2 linked regions of the Saccharomyces cerevisiae S288C genome follow. The protein of the gene in region 1 purifies or fractionates together with the protein of each later gene. This does not show direct contact. Each region holds a gene or a part of one and is shown on either strand. Other genes may lie near its edges.

Region 1 (3,756 bases):
CACATACCATATCTCACGTCAAAGACATCGCAATCAAATGTTGGTGATGCCGTTGGCAACGCTGATAGTGTAGAGTTCAACAGTGAGCATGACTCACCTTCAAAGAGAGGTAAAATTACACTTGAGTCACATGAAATACAGAGGGCTCCCGCTAGCGATGATGAAGATAGGATTCAAATTAAACCCGTGAACGACGAGGATGACACGTCGGTCATGATCACTTTTAACCAATCTCTTTCGCCCTTCATCATCACTCTGACTTTTGTCGCATCCATATCCGGTTTCATGTTTGGTTACGACACTGGTTATATATCCAGTGCGCTGATCTCGATCGGCACAGATCTGGACCACAAGGTACTTACTTATGGGGAGAAGGAAATTGTCACTGCGGCTACCTCTCTGGGAGCTTTGATTACCAGTATTTTCGCCGGTACTGCAGCTGACATATTTGGTAGGAAACGTTGTTTAATGGGTTCGAATCTGATGTTTGTCATTGGCGCAATCTTACAGGTCTCCGCACACACATTCTGGCAAATGGCTGTTGGTAGACTGATCATGGGTTTCGGTGTCGGTATCGGCTCCTTGATCGCGCCACTTTTCATCAGTGAAATTGCTCCCAAAATGATCAGAGGGAGACTAACTGTCATCAATTCCTTATGGTTGACTGGTGGTCAATTAGTCGCTTACGGTTGCGGTGCTGGGTTAAACTACGTCAACAATGGTTGGAGAATTCTTGTTGGATTGTCACTAATTCCCACTGCTGTGCAATTCACATGCCTGTGCTTTTTACCTGACACTCCAAGATACTACGTTATGAAGGGCGACTTGGCAAGGGCTACTGAGGTGTTGAAGAGAAGTTACACTGACACTTCGGAGGAAATCATTGAACGTAAGGTGGAAGAACTTGTTACTTTGAATCAATCTATTCCTGGTAAGAATGTCCCTGAAAAAGTCTGGAATACCATCAAAGAATTGCACACAGTACCATCTAATCTAAGGGCTTTGATCATTGGTTGTGGTTTACAAGCAATTCAACAGTTTACCGGTTGGAATTCGTTGATGTATTTCTCTGGTACCATCTTCGAAACTGTCGGTTTCAAAAATTCTTCCGCTGTTTCAATCATCGTGTCCGGTACCAATTTTATTTTCACTTTAGTTGCCTTTTTTTCCATTGACAAAATAGGCCGTAGAACCATATTATTGATTGGATTACCAGGCATGACCATGGCTTTAGTCGTGTGCTCTATTGCTTTCCATTTTCTAGGTATTAAGTTTGATGGCGCTGTCGCTGTGGTGGTTTCCTCCGGTTTCTCCTCTTGGGGTATTGTGATCATCGTATTTATTATCGTATTTGCTGCGTTCTACGCTCTTGGTATCGGTACTGTTCCATGGCAACAATCGGAACTATTCCCCCAAAACGTGAGAGGTATTGGGACTTCATATGCAACTGCTACAAACTGGGCTGGTTCACTGGTTATTGCATCCACATTTTTGACCATGTTACAGAATATCACTCCTGCAGGTACATTTGCCTTTTTCGCGGGATTGTCGTGCTTATCAACCATTTTCTGCTACTTCTGTTATCCAGAATTATCGGGATTGGAGTTAGAAGAGGTACAAACTATTTTGAAGGACGGGTTCAACATCAAAGCCTCGAAAGCTTTGGCCAAGAAGAGAAAACAGCAAGTTGCCAGAGTTCATGAATTGAAATATGAACCAACTCAAGAGATTATAGAGGATATATAGTCCTTTCACGAGGTAAAAGGAAGGAGACGCAATTGAATATTCAAATACATAGTAGAAAATAAATAAAAATAAATTACAAGATAGAAAAAAGTTCATTGTATTTAAGTCGAACTAATTGTTGTATGCATATATAGAAGATTAACTAACCCGGCATTGAAGACCTTTTTTTTTTTTCACCTTGAGAGAAATACTGAAAATTTTTTTTGCTGGGATGAGATGAGATGCCTACCTAAAGTATTTCGAAGGTGAAAGCGTTTTATTATAGAGTACTGAAATAAAGCACAATCAGGAATAACAAATTAACTGACAATGGCACCTTTAACCAAGAAGACAAACGGAAAACGTTCTGCTAAAGAAGTTAGTCATTCAGAAAAGAAATTAGCCAAAAAACCTAGAATTTCTATTGATTCGTCTGATGAAGAATCAGAACTATCCAAAAAGGAAGATGCTGTATCCTCTTCATCAGATGATGATGATTTGGATGATTTAAGTACCAGTGACTCTGAAGCAGAAGAAGAAGCTGACGAATTAGATATTTCCGATGACAGTGAGGAACATGAAAATGAGAATGAAGAGAAAGAAGGAAAGGACAAATCTGAAGGAGGTGAAAATGGAAATCACACTGAACAAAGAAAACTGCTAAAAGAAAGGAAAATGCAAAGAAAATCTGGTACCCAAGTGCAACAAATTAAATCCGTCTGGGAAAGATTGCGTGTGAAGACCCCACCTTTACCAAAACAGATTCGTGAAAAACTTTCCAACGAAATCTGGGAGCTATCTAAGGACTGTATCAGTGATCTTGTCTTAAAGCATGATGCTTCCCGTATTGTTCAAACTTTAGTCAAGTATTCGTCCAAAGATCGTCGTGAACAAATTGTCGATGCTTTAAAGGGAAAATTTTATGTTCTAGCCACATCTGCGTACGGTAAGTATCTATTGGTTAAGTTACTGCATTATGGTTCAAGAAGTTCAAGGCAAACTATAATAAATGAATTACACGGTTCTTTGAGAAAATTAATGAGACATCGTGAGGGTGCCTACGTTGTTGAAGATTTATTTGTTCTTTATGCCACACATGAACAAAGACAACAAATGATTAAAGAGTTTTGGGGCTCTGAATATGCTGTATTTAGAGAAACCCACAAAGATTTGACCATTGAGAAAGTTTGTGAAAGTAGCATTGAAAAAAGGAATATTATCGCCAGAAACTTGATTGGTACCATTACCGCATCAGTAGAAAAGGGTTCCACCGGCTTTCAAATTCTACATGCTGCTATGAGAGAATATGTGAAAATAGCCAACGAAAAGGAAATATCTGAAATGATCGAATTGCTTCATGAACAATTCGCTGAATTGGTGCATACTCCAGAAGGTTCAGACGTTGCTTGTACTTTGGTTGCTAGAGCTAACGCCAAGGAAAGAAAGTTAATTTTAAAGGCTTTGAAAAACCACGCCGAAAAATTGATCAAAAATGAGTACGGTAATATTGTCTTCATTACAATTCTGAACTGTGTTGACGATACAGTTTTAGTATTCAAGACTTTCAGTCCTACTGTTAAGGAACATTTGCAAGAATTCATAATTGATAAGTTTGGTAGAAGGCCTTGGTTATACATACTATTAGGTTTGGACGGTAAGTATTTCTCACCTATCGTCAAGAATGAATTATTGAGATACATTGAACTGTCCAAAGCCACCTCTAAGAAGGATCCTTTACAAAGAAGGCACGAACTTTTGTCAAAATTCGCCCCCATGTTTTTAAGCACTATATCAAAAGATTATTCCAGTATATTGACAGAGAATCTAGGCTGTCAGTTCATTGCCGAAGTTCTAATAAACGATGAGTTGTACGCGCAGCTGAATGAAAAAGACCAAGAAAAGTATCAACAGGTCTTAAACAACATTTTAACTACTTTTAAGGGTGACATAACCGAAGAAGAGCACCCAATACATAGAGCATTTTCTACTAGACTATTAAAGGCACTAATTCAAGGTGGTAAATGGAATAAC
Region 2 (3,756 bases), on another chromosome or scaffold:
CGATTTCTTTCCAATCCTCTTTAATACGCTCTTCTTCAGCATTTTCATCGAGCTCTTCTGCTTTCAATTCTTCCTCTATAGCCTTCCTTTTTAAACTCATCTTTTCCTTTCTCTCGAGTTTCCGTTCTTTCGTCAATGTTTTATCTGACCACGCTAAATTCTTCTTCTTCAACTCACTTTTCAGCTTCTTTTTATCATTAATCAGGCTTATATTTTTTAATGTTTCTTGTCTCTCCTTTTCACGTTTTTTGTCCTTGTATTTATATTCATCCATATTAACTGGGGGATCGACCAACCAATTCCCTGGGAAAATCCCTTCTTGTTTTTCGGTGGCTAAGTACTTTGTTATCTCAGGCATTCTAGGCAGGCGGAAAAGACCATACAATTTCGCAATACCAACATAATCTAAAGATTGAAGCCTAAAAATTGAAGTTGCGGAATGATTTGAGTAGTATTTAATAAAGGCAACATATGCTTTAACACCTTTATCAAATCTATCCCTATCTTCTAGTATCCAATTTCTAAAGTCCTCGTAAAAGTTTGTTGTTATGCCCTTTACTTCCAAATCAAGTTCTTCAAGTTCCACATTTTTAACTTGCATGAAAGGAATAAAATCCTCTTCTCTGCCTTCATTAAGAAACGTAATTGCTTTACCCACTCTATTTGCTCTACCAGTTCTACCACATCTATGCATGAACATATCAGTATTGGTAGGGGGATCAAGCTGGATGACGAGATCAACGTCGGGTATGTCAATACCTCTAGCAGCCACATCTGTTGTGAATAAAACAGAATTACTTAGCGAATCAGTAAAAGCTGTTAGAGTTTTTGTCCTTGCCGATGTTTGAAGTTTTCCATGCAAGGAAAATATTTCTACTTCATTCACGAGAATATTCCTCTTTCCCAAATACTGGATAAATGAGTAGAAGTAGGAGACTGACACACATGTTGGAAAATATACAATACATTTCTTGAATTTGTAGTTATTCAAAATGCTAACCAAAAGTTGTAGTTTTTCGGCAGGATTTACGACACAGTAATTTAATTTCAAAGAGGAGGGCGCCTGGTTCTTAGAGTTAACGGTAATCCTGACAGGATTTCTAAGCCCTGTCTTAAAGATATCTGATCCGGCGCTACGCATAGTTGCAGAAAATAGACCCGTCCTTCTTTGTTTAGGCAATAGCCTCAGAATTTTTTCGGTATCCTTAATAAAACTCATATCCAACAATCTGTCTGCTTCATCCATAACTACCATACTGCATGCTGACGTCTTTACTGCTGGCATTTGTAAAAAGTCCAAAACTCTACCAGGTGTTCCAATCAGAATCTGCGGTCTATTCCGCAGAAAATTACTTACATCATCTCTAACTGTGGCTTCATTAGTACCAACCAGGAGCTGACATTTAATAGGGAACAAGTCGGAAGGATAATGTTCCAGAAATGATAGAACGACAGACTCAATTTGGCGTGACAATTCTCTTGTTGGAGCAATAATTAACGAGTGGAAGTGTGCTTTCTTGAATTTTGATGTATTCGCTTCTTCCTTTACAACTTTTTCTAGTACAGGTATAACAAACGCAGCGGTCTTACCTGAGCCTGTTACAGAATCAACTACTACATCCTTGTTGCCAGCAAGCATGGGAATTGTCGATGCTTGGACTGGAGTCATGGTCTCAAAACCCATAACATCGAGTCCTGTCCTTATCCAGGGAAGTAAAGAAAACCCGAGATTATCCCATTCCAATGACTTTGACATTGTTTTTATTGCTGCTGAGCTTTTAATATTATCTTACTACACCTCAAATCAATGGGCTCAGCTCATCTTGAAAAGCTCACTTTGTTTTTCAGTGAAAAATTTTTGAAAGCGAAAAGCCGGCTCAAAATAAAGAATAATATAGTATTCTCGAGGTGCCCACATGCAATCTTTACTGCCCTACTATAACCTCCCTTGAATGAGTAATTTCATTAGAAGGCTAGTTGGGAAAATGAAAGCGATTTCAACAGGTACCAATGCTATTGTTAGTAAGAAGGACTCCATTTACGCAAACTGGTCCAAAGAGCAGCTAATACGAAGGATCACTGAACTAGAAAACGCAAATAAGCCACATTCTGAAAAATTCCAGCACATCGAGGATAACAAAAAGCGCAAAATTTCGCAAGAAGAGGTTACGAGAAGCAAGGCGAAAAAGGCTCCGAAGAAGTTTGACTTTTCTAAACATAATACCAGGTTCATCGCCTTGAGATTTGCCTATTTGGGATGGAATTACAATGGCTTAGCTGTTCAGAAGGAATACACACCGTTGCCTACAGTAGAGGGTACCATTTTGGAGGCCATGAATAAGTGTAAACTTGTTCCCTCGATGGTTTTACAAGACTATAAATTTAGCAGATGTGGCAGAACAGACAAGGGAGTTAGCGCCATGAACCAAGTTATATCGTTAGAAGTCCGTTCCAATTTAACAGATGAGGAACAGCGGGATCCGACCAACGACAGCAGGGAAATACCCTATGTTCACGTTTTAAATCAATTACTACCCGACGATATTCGTATATCAGCTGTCTGCCTCAGACCGCCACCTAACTTTGACGCAAGATTCAGCTGTGTTCACCGGCACTATAAGTACATCTTTAATGGAAAAAACCTTAATATTGAAAAAATGTCTAAAGCCGCATCATATTTTGTTGGAGAGAGAGACTTCAGGAATTTTTGTAAGCTTGATGGCTCAAAACAAATTACCAATTTTAAACGAACAATAATAAGCTCAAAAATTCTTCCCCTTTCTGAAACTTTCTATTGTTTTGATCTCGTTGGTTCAGCATTCCTATGGCACCAAGTTCGTTGCATGATGGCCATTCTTTTCTTAGTTGGTCAATCACTTGAAGTGCCGGAAATTGTCTTGCGTCTGACTGATATTGAGAAAACCCCTCAAAGGCCTGTTTACGAAATGGCAAATGATATACCATTATTGTTATATGATTGTAAATTTCCTGAAATGGATTGGCAAGAACCTACTGTAGATGACTATAAGGCAATAAAATTCACGACAGCTACTGAAGCATTGACGTTACACTACGAACTTAAGGCCGCAGTATGCAATATTTTTAAAGATGTTTTGCCCACAGCAAATACAAACAACTTCTCAAAGACAATTATTAATTTGGGCGATGGAAGAGGTAAAGTAGTCGGTACCTATGTGAAACTAGAGGATAGAAGCGTTATGGAACCTGTCGAAGTTGTTAATGCTAAATACTCCAAGAAAAAGAACAACAAAAATAAGTAAAATAATATATAAACCTGTATAATATAACCTTGAAGACTATATTTCTTTTCATCACGTGCTATAAAAATAATTATAATTTAAATTTTTTAATATAAATATATAAATTAAAAATAGAAAGTAAAAAAAGAAATTAAAGAAAAAATAGTTTTTGTTTTCCGAAGATGTAAAATAGGTTGAAAGTTAGAAATTAGTATTATAATAGCAAAAAAAATTTAAAGTTAGAAATTAGAATTTAAGGCTCTACACACGTTTACGATGATATTGGACGACCGACACGAAAAGACAGTTTTAGGCTTTCTTTTGTCTTGCTCTTGCGTTGAAAGTACGTAATTTCCATTCGATTACTTACTCAACACTTGATATAGAGACCAACTATAAAATAAACTGTTTGGGAAGGAAAGCAGAACTCTTGTAATTACCTCATCTCATTATCAAGAAGCAAAATTTTAACTATGTATTTTGACCTTATTTTTGT

Evidence for each region. Proteins that work in one complex are often made in the same cells at the same time.
Region 2: the proteins of PUF6 (region 1) and SPB4 purify together in Saccharomyces cerevisiae (affinity purification with mass spectrometry; 5 studies listed by BioGRID, with this or other methods). This does not show direct contact.

What each region holds. Positions count from the first base shown.
Region 1 is NC_001136.10:1,441,703-1,445,458, reverse strand, and holds the start of PUF6 (Puf6p), read left to right. Parts: upstream 1-2,055; coding exon 2,056-3,756. Other genes in the region: myo-inositol transporter ITR1, read left to right, coding at 1-1,746. UniProt on the Saccharomyces cerevisiae protein: RNA-binding protein involved in post-transcriptional regulation. Component of the ASH1 mRNP which transports the ASH1 mRNA to the distal tip of the bud, where the ASH1 protein is translated and targeted to the daughter cell nucleus.
Region 2 is NC_001138.5:145,179-148,934, forward strand, and holds the start of SPB4 (ATP-dependent RNA helicase SPB4), read right to left. Parts: upstream 1,757-3,756; coding exon 1-1,756. Other genes in the region: pseudouridine synthase DEG1, read left to right, coding at 1,953-3,281. UniProt on the Saccharomyces cerevisiae protein: ATP-binding RNA helicase involved in the biogenesis of 60S ribosomal subunits. Binds 90S pre-ribosomal particles and dissociates from pre-60S ribosomal particles after processing of 27SB pre-rRNA.